2 linked regions of the Saccharomyces cerevisiae S288C genome follow. The protein of the gene in region 2 interacts with the protein of the main gene of each other region in a pairwise test. Each region holds a gene or a part of one and is shown on either strand. Other genes may lie near its edges. The genes, in order: NDL1 and MET4.

Region 1 (2,943 bases), on a different chromosome or scaffold from region 2:
ATGGGCTACCCCAGTTTTAGTGCACTGCTGGCAGTGTGGTCTGAGTTTGTCACATTTGACTTTCCTTTTCCGACAAATGGTGCAACTGAGCGGAATTCTGTTACGCTTCCTCTTGATCTTGGACGAATCTGAAGACATGTGCAAGGGTGGAGAGTTAGAGCTGGTGTTGGCACCGGGCGTAGTTGCTGTATGCATGTTAGGACTTCTTGAGACCGAAGACTGGGTCATGGATGCAATGGAAGGCACAGATGAATTATAAGGGGTATTCGACATCTAACCTATTGTTCCCTTTTTTTTTTTTTCTTTTTCTTCTATTTCCTTACCTTCTTGCCTGCGACTGGAGAAAAACTAAAAGGCCAAATTGAAAGGGAAGAAAAATTTTCTGCGAAAACAAAACAAGATGCTTTGATAAAAGGAAGTTGATGGAATGAGGTTCGATGAGATGAAATCAGATACAATTTTGTGCAATATCTTCAAACCTTAAAAGAGCACTGCAGGAACCTATTCTTTGGGAGAACAATAGCGTCTGTGTGCTTGCGGTATCTTGAGTTGTGAGTCTCAAATGTGTGCTTTGCATCTCGAAGAATAATAGAAAAAACCGAAAACCGAAAAAAATTGTGCCTCAAGAGTATATCCGATATATATGAACGCGATCGAGTTACCGGGGCCGTTGCTGGTGCCGTTGCCTGGTATTCTAAACGAGGCCGCGAGGGTGGATTTCGCCCGACGGGTGAATGGGTGTGGGTGGAACGAGGATTGTATCGTTTAGACAGCCGAATTATTACCCGGTTACTCAACAAAAAGGGGCAAGCCAGACAGGTGCAGTGGCTCAGCCGTACAGCTCGTACTGTGGTTTGCTAATGCGCTGGGCGGTTGTTGAGATAAGAAGAAGAGGGAAAGGGAAAGGAAGAAAGAGGAAGAGAGAGAGAGAGAAAGGGCACACGAAATTCAGGATACGGCGGAGGAGTTATCTTTATTTTATACGGTCTTGCCTTGTAAGGCCCTACTCAAGCGGGAACAAGAAAAACAGTTGTAGCTTCCACAAGATGTTGGCTATAGAGATTGTTCTGTGCTTAAAGGCTCGCTAATCAATATTTCTTGAAGTACGATTTCTGTGTGTATAGATTCTCCACAATTGTTTTTCTTAGTGAGGCTCCGCCACGATCGCGTCTTGCCATCATCGTCCATCCATGGAAAAGAGCTACAAAAAACGACTGCTGGTGTACATACAATGCTCTGGGTTTCGTACATTTGCTTACTAAGTGACAGAAGCGTTCATCGATCCTTCGAAAAGGGTAACAGCGGAAAAACAGGAAATATTGGCTACATACTATAACTCAACAACGTATCATGAACTATTCCGCATATTCGTAACCTTATTTGTAGCGCAGTAAAGCCGCTAAAGAGGTCTTCTCCTATCGGATCTTGCTTTTTTCTTCCTTTTTTTTTTTTTTTTACAATAGAACAATAAAAAAACTGAACGTTCTCTATATCATCTGTGACGGCAAGTATCAATTATTTTATCAATTAGTTTGCAGAATCGGGAAAATTAATAACATTAGAAATGAAAGTTTTCATACATAAATTTGCAATTAAGGATGAAAAAGAGGGATAATAAGGGCTACAACAAACCACGAACGGCCGAAAGAACAATCCTCGCAAATTTAATTGGAATATCCAAGGGACATATACGTGCAACAATTGCGACTTTCCTATGGTGCCGAATTTGGATTTGGAAACAGCTATACAGATAATCTCCTCACTGGAGACCCAGTTGAGCGAGCTTGAAGGCGCCACGAAAGAATATGAAAATGATTTGGAACAAGTAATATCAAAGTTAAAAAGCGATCTTCTTGAGAGCCAACAACAAAATAAGTGCAATAAGAAACAGATAACAGATTTAGAGATACAGGTAGATGAGTTGGAAAATGAAAATATCCAACTGAGGAATAAGATAGAGACATTACAATTGGAGAGTGACCGACGACTGGAACGCAACGTTCTACTGGAACACGAGTTACTCGACACCAAAGAGGCGCTGCAAAAGTTAAGAGTCAGCAAAGAAGAAGCCACTAGCGGTGAGACTAGAAGGAACACCAGGTCGTTACCCAGTCAAAATAAAAAAATGAAGTTGTTTAAGGATACTATCAAAGTCTCGACCACATCTTCAACCTTGTACTTGCAGAACATGGCAAAAACTAACAACGCTGCAAGAAGTCACTGTAATATTCCAAATACCCAAATAACACAATCCACTGTGATAGCAACAACGTCTTCCGTTTAATGACACATATAAAATTGTTATATATAATTTTACGTATATATTTACAAGTAGAAAGAACGCTAACGATTTAAGATGACAACCAAGTCTTCGGAATAAATTTTTTCCACCACAACACAAAATCATAAAAATACAATTGATTAATACGCCTCTCATAGACTATCCAGTTTGTCAAGTTCTCCCACATCCATTTAATAGACCACCTCGCATACTCCGAATTAATTCTTTCCACTTTTTCGTCGTAGACCGTCTTGGCGCAGTATTGCGTCATGATCAGGAAAGTCCTCTCTGGCCCGAGTGGATTCTGTAGACATTCATCAAGATGTCTGGTTAGGTCGTTAGTCTTCAATATCAAAAGCACTACACGAGGGATTCTAGACAAAATGCTCATCAAGTCGCTCAGTAACGTTCCTTCCAAGATCCCATTTGCCATGACGTCCATTTCTTCTTGTGTTCGACTCGTTGAAATGTCGTAATTCAAAGCAGCATCAATGCTACGGCCCGTAATTGCAGCCGCTAAAAGGGGAAACTGTTCGTCGGTGATGTTTGCGAATCCTTTGGCATACTTCTTCATTTTTGTCTGGTCCTTGTCGAATAGGAGCGACAACCAAAATTTGGCATAAAGTCTTCTTGTTCTCGTGCTAGGATATCTATAGAGTCCG
Region 2 (4,390 bases):
ATGTGCTAGCAGTGTTGATTTGGAATGTTGAGTTCGCAGCATATCTGTAATCTGGTGGTCTTTCTCCCTTTTTATATTCTTCTTCCTTTTAGAATCCTTGCTAGCAAGGTTTCCAGTGTCTTCATCACTTGAACTGTTATCAACTTCCCTCCAATCTTCTTCGACACCACGATCGACGTAGCCTACACCATCGTCATCTACAACAAAATCGTCATGCAGCAATTCCTGGCGCTTTCTGGCCCTGTATTCTTTTTCGTCGATTTCGTCGTATATTCTGTCACCATCTGATTCGTCACCTTCGTAATCATCGATGGATGTACCATTTCGAGCGGCTTGCAGCTTTCTCAATTTTTCTAATTTTTCACTTTTAGAAGACATTTTCCACTGTTTATTTTATGCCTTGATACTATTTGGTTTCTAATAGCAGAGTGAAGACAGTTTTTTTTCTCGTGAGTCTGAATTGGTATGTGTTCGTTGTCTAGACCAAGAAGATATATATCATCCAATGAGTAAAGAATTTAATTCAGTAAAATTGGATACACGCGACGCGTTTTACTTATAGGCTAACAAAAAAATTTTAACGCGTTTGAATAGATGTGTGATGAATGAAGAATAGAGATTGCAGGCAGTACAAGAAAAAAGTTATATTTCTTTAAGAAAAATGCACGTATATATATATATATATATAATTAAACTGTATAGTCTGTTATTTTATTCTTTCTGAACCTTCTCAAAAATTTGCTTCTTTAAGCTTTCAGCTTTTTTTATTCCTTCCGTTTCACCGCTACTCAGAACTAAATTCTTTAAAAGCTTGTTTTCCGTTTCTAACGTATGTATCCGTTTTTGTAAGGATGCTGCAATTTCGGTCAGTTCATGTATCGATGATTCTAACTCCTTTTCCTTTAGTTTTTTTTTTTGATGAGATTTTTTCGACTGTATCAATAAATCTTCATCGTCGTCCCCTAACTCTTTCTTGATCAGTTGCTTCTTTTCAAAGCCGTGTAAATCTGCATCGTCATATTCATCGTCTTCATTATCAGAATACTTGCGGTCGACGGGTACTTTTTTATTTTTCAAATCTCCGGAGTGTGATCTTTTTAAACTATTTTCCTTGTGATCAGAAGAACTTGCATTTAAAGTTGGCTCGGATCGTATCTTGGCAATTTCGTCTCCACGCGTCGTACTTGACTTAATAACAGCGTTATTATGATGGACATTATCGTTTCCATTGTTACCGTCACTCTCTCTTGATATTTTATGATCGTTTCGTGAAGGTTGTCGTTGATTGTGAATATTATTACTTTTTGGATGCTTTATGCCCAGTTCCAAAATGGAGCTTAGAAAAGAAGCCTCTGCTACTACACCGTGCTCATTGAACGAAGGCGACGTTGATAAGGTAGTTGGCGCAGCAGTTTCAGCCGGAGAGGGTGGTATTAAGACACTTAAAAGTTCGTTGATGTTTTTTAGAATGGGTGCCTCTTGACTGTCATTGGTGTTGATGTTTTTATTATTATTACTGTTATTTTCCCTAATCTTTTTTTGATGATGATACGCCATTATTGCGGCTATAGCATCTATTTGATCATTGTCAAATCCCGCGCTGATCAACGAGTTATATGCGCCGTTGGGCACGTTGACCCTCGGTAATAGAGTTACTAAAACAGAGGTTGGTATAATTGAATAGTCAGGAACAGTTATATTGGGGGCTTTGTTGGAGCTGTTATTATCGCTGTTACTATCGACTTTGCTTTCCGAATGTTTTCGTTGTTGTGAAGAGGAATTTTGAGCAGAAGTGACATTGCTTAGGGGGGAGGAGCGGTTCGGTGTGTGTGTTGTCCTATGTAGTAGATTTGATAGCGCATCCACTCCATTGTCACCGGTAGTATTGTTCTCAGTTGATGTAATGTCAACATTTGTGAAGCCGCCATGGTCGATTGATGTCATATTAGTTGCGTCAGCGGGAAACTGAGAAGGGCTTCCCATAAAGTTTGGCTCAAAAGGATGGTTATTTTGCATATTGTCGCCAAAGTTGTTTGTTTCGCCGTTATTGCCATTTCTTTTGTTTTTGGACGAAAATCGAGACTTTGATTGGTCGTATTGGGAAGTTAGGAAAGTATTCCTTCTTTGAGTCAAGAAGTGAGGATTTCTTTGTCTATTATTGGTAGAAGGGTCCTCATGCAATACGTCGTGGTTGCTATGGTCGTCATTACCATTATTGCTGTTGTTATTGTTATTGCTCGGCTTATCCTCGTCTGGGAAGATGAAAGAATCGTCGGCAAACGCACTCAACTCAATGGCTAGTTGTTCATCCAAGTCAAAAGGATTTGCATTTATGCTGCTGAAAGTGTCCGCGCCATTATTGTTTGCATTATTATGGGTGGTATTCACATTCCAATCCACATTAGAGAACTCGTTATCCAGAGATGGTATGAAGTTATCCACGTAGGCCAACTGTTCTAAGAGTATTTCTGGCGTGACAGCGTGGTCATATAGGTTAGTGTTGCCCCTATTGGTAACGTCACCTATTAGGGGGCGCCTATTCTCGCTGCTGGTCACCAGAGAAGATGACGATGAGGCTGTTGCCACAAACTGGTCCAACGAGTTCGTGCTCCCCATGCCATTATTATTAGCACCGTTGTTGCTGCTAGGGTGTGTTGCGGTATCTTTGCCAAAGAGATTTATGAATTCCGTGCTGTATGAGTCGCCTTCGTGGGACTGCTCCTGCTTCATCGTTCACAGTGGAAAAAAAGGAATAAAAGTGCTTATCAGAAGTGCGCTTTATTGACGAGAGTCTGTCTAAACAGTTGACGGACAGGCAAGAAGACCTTCAGGAGTTGACTAATATATGAAATGATGTGCGTTCAAACAGACCGTTTCACCTGGCACAGATGCATGTAAACAAGGATATACGTTATTACATGCTACGGCTACATCTAGATTGGGTGGATTTAAGTTGAACGATGAAAGAAAATTCAAGCAATATGCTTGTGTGGCCCGATGACACACAATAGCATGTGCGACGAGACACCAGCTGTGTGCCGGGTGCTACCCGCGCACGTGATTAAAAGGAAACGGGGAAAAAGCCATAGCGGAAAAGTGCTCGAAGAAGCCTCGATAAATGAAGTAAAAAATTCGATATTTTTCAACGACAATAAGACGTATATAAGCATCCGTATGTCCAGCGATTGAGCTTATGCTTCTGTTCTCCGCTTTGACACTTCCACTCGGCTGTTATGACCAGCCCCAGGATTGCTACCGGAGCGGGACCGGCTCTGAGACAGTAGTAGGTTAGTCATCGCTCTACCGACGCGCAGGAAAAGAAAGAAGGCCTCAGAAAAGCTGAGTTGAATGTGTGTCATACTTGGCTGAAAAAATTGTACAGTAACGGCCAGTCACTGTCATGCGCGTGCATGTATGTGCGTGCATGTATGTGTGTATGTATATTTATATATATATAAGCACGGGCGCATGGGAGATGTGCGCTATGGAGTCGCGTAGGTTCGATGTTTTCTCCTCTTGGGTCAGCCTCTCTCCTCTTTCAACGTTCTTTCCATAATCATTTATTGGTTATTTTTCAACTTGACCAGTAAAAAGAAACTTACGTGTAAGTGACTCAGTTCTTTCAAAGGGTATTTTTTGAAGAAAAAAAAGGATTCTCACACTAGAAGTTTACTGTAGACTTTTTCCTTACAAAAAGACAAGGAACAATCATGGTTAAAGAGAGTATTATTGCTCTTGCTGAGCATGCGGCCTCCAGAGCCTCAAGAGTTATTCCTCCAGTGAAGCTAGCCTATAAAAATATGCTTAAGGACCCTTCCTCCAAGTACAAGCCATTTAACGCTCCAAAGCTATCTAATAGAAAGTGGCCGGATAACCGGATCACGAGGGCTCCTCGTTGGTTATCAACAGATTTGAGAGATGGTAACCAATCTCTGCCGGATCCCATGTCAGTGGAACAAAAGAAAGAATACTTTCACAAGCTGGTCAATATTGGGTTCAAAGAAATCGAGGTTTCCTTCCCCTCTGCATCTCAAACAGATTTCGACTTCACTAGATATGCTGTAGAAAACGCCCCAGACGATGTTAGTATTCAATGTCTTGTCCAATCTAGAGAACACTTGATTAAGAGAACGGTGGAAGCATTAACAGGTGCTAAAAAGGCTACTATACATACTTACTTGGCAACAAGTGATATGTTCCGTGAAATTGTTTTTAATATGTCTAGAGAGGAAGCTATTTCCAAGGCAGTAGAGGCCACCAAACTAGTTAGGAAACTAACTAAGGATGACCCTTCCCAACAAGCCACTCGTTGGTCCTATGAGTTTTCCCCCGAATGTTTCAGTGATACTCCAGGTGAATTTGCTGTAGAAATTTGCGAAGCTGTTAAGAA

Evidence for each region.
Region 1: the proteins of MET4 (region 2) and NDL1 interact in a two-hybrid assay, tested with the Saccharomyces cerevisiae proteins (2 studies listed by BioGRID).

The regions. Positions count from the first base shown.
Region 1 is NC_001144.5:643,745-646,687, reverse strand, and holds NDL1 (Ndl1p), read left to right. Parts: upstream 1-1,714; coding exon 1,715-2,284; downstream 2,285-2,943. Other genes in the region: HAP1 (Hap1p), read right to left, coding at 1-273; YLR255C (uncharacterized protein), read left to right, coding at 735-1,088; CQD2 (Cqd2p), read right to left, coding at 2,352-2,943. UniProt on the Saccharomyces cerevisiae protein: Required for nuclear migration to the bud neck during cell division.
Region 2 is NC_001146.8:426,075-430,464, reverse strand, and holds MET4 (Met4p), read right to left. Parts: upstream 2,731-4,390; coding exon 712-2,730; downstream 1-711. Other genes in the region: DNA-directed DNA polymerase alpha catalytic subunit POL1, read right to left, coding at 1-378; 2-isopropylmalate synthase LEU4, read left to right, coding at 3,711-4,390. UniProt on the Saccharomyces cerevisiae protein: Positive trans-acting factor capable of stimulating the transcription of the MET genes from the methionine biosynthetic pathway. MET4, MET28 and CBF1 are required for full induction of MET25 and MET16 gene transcription.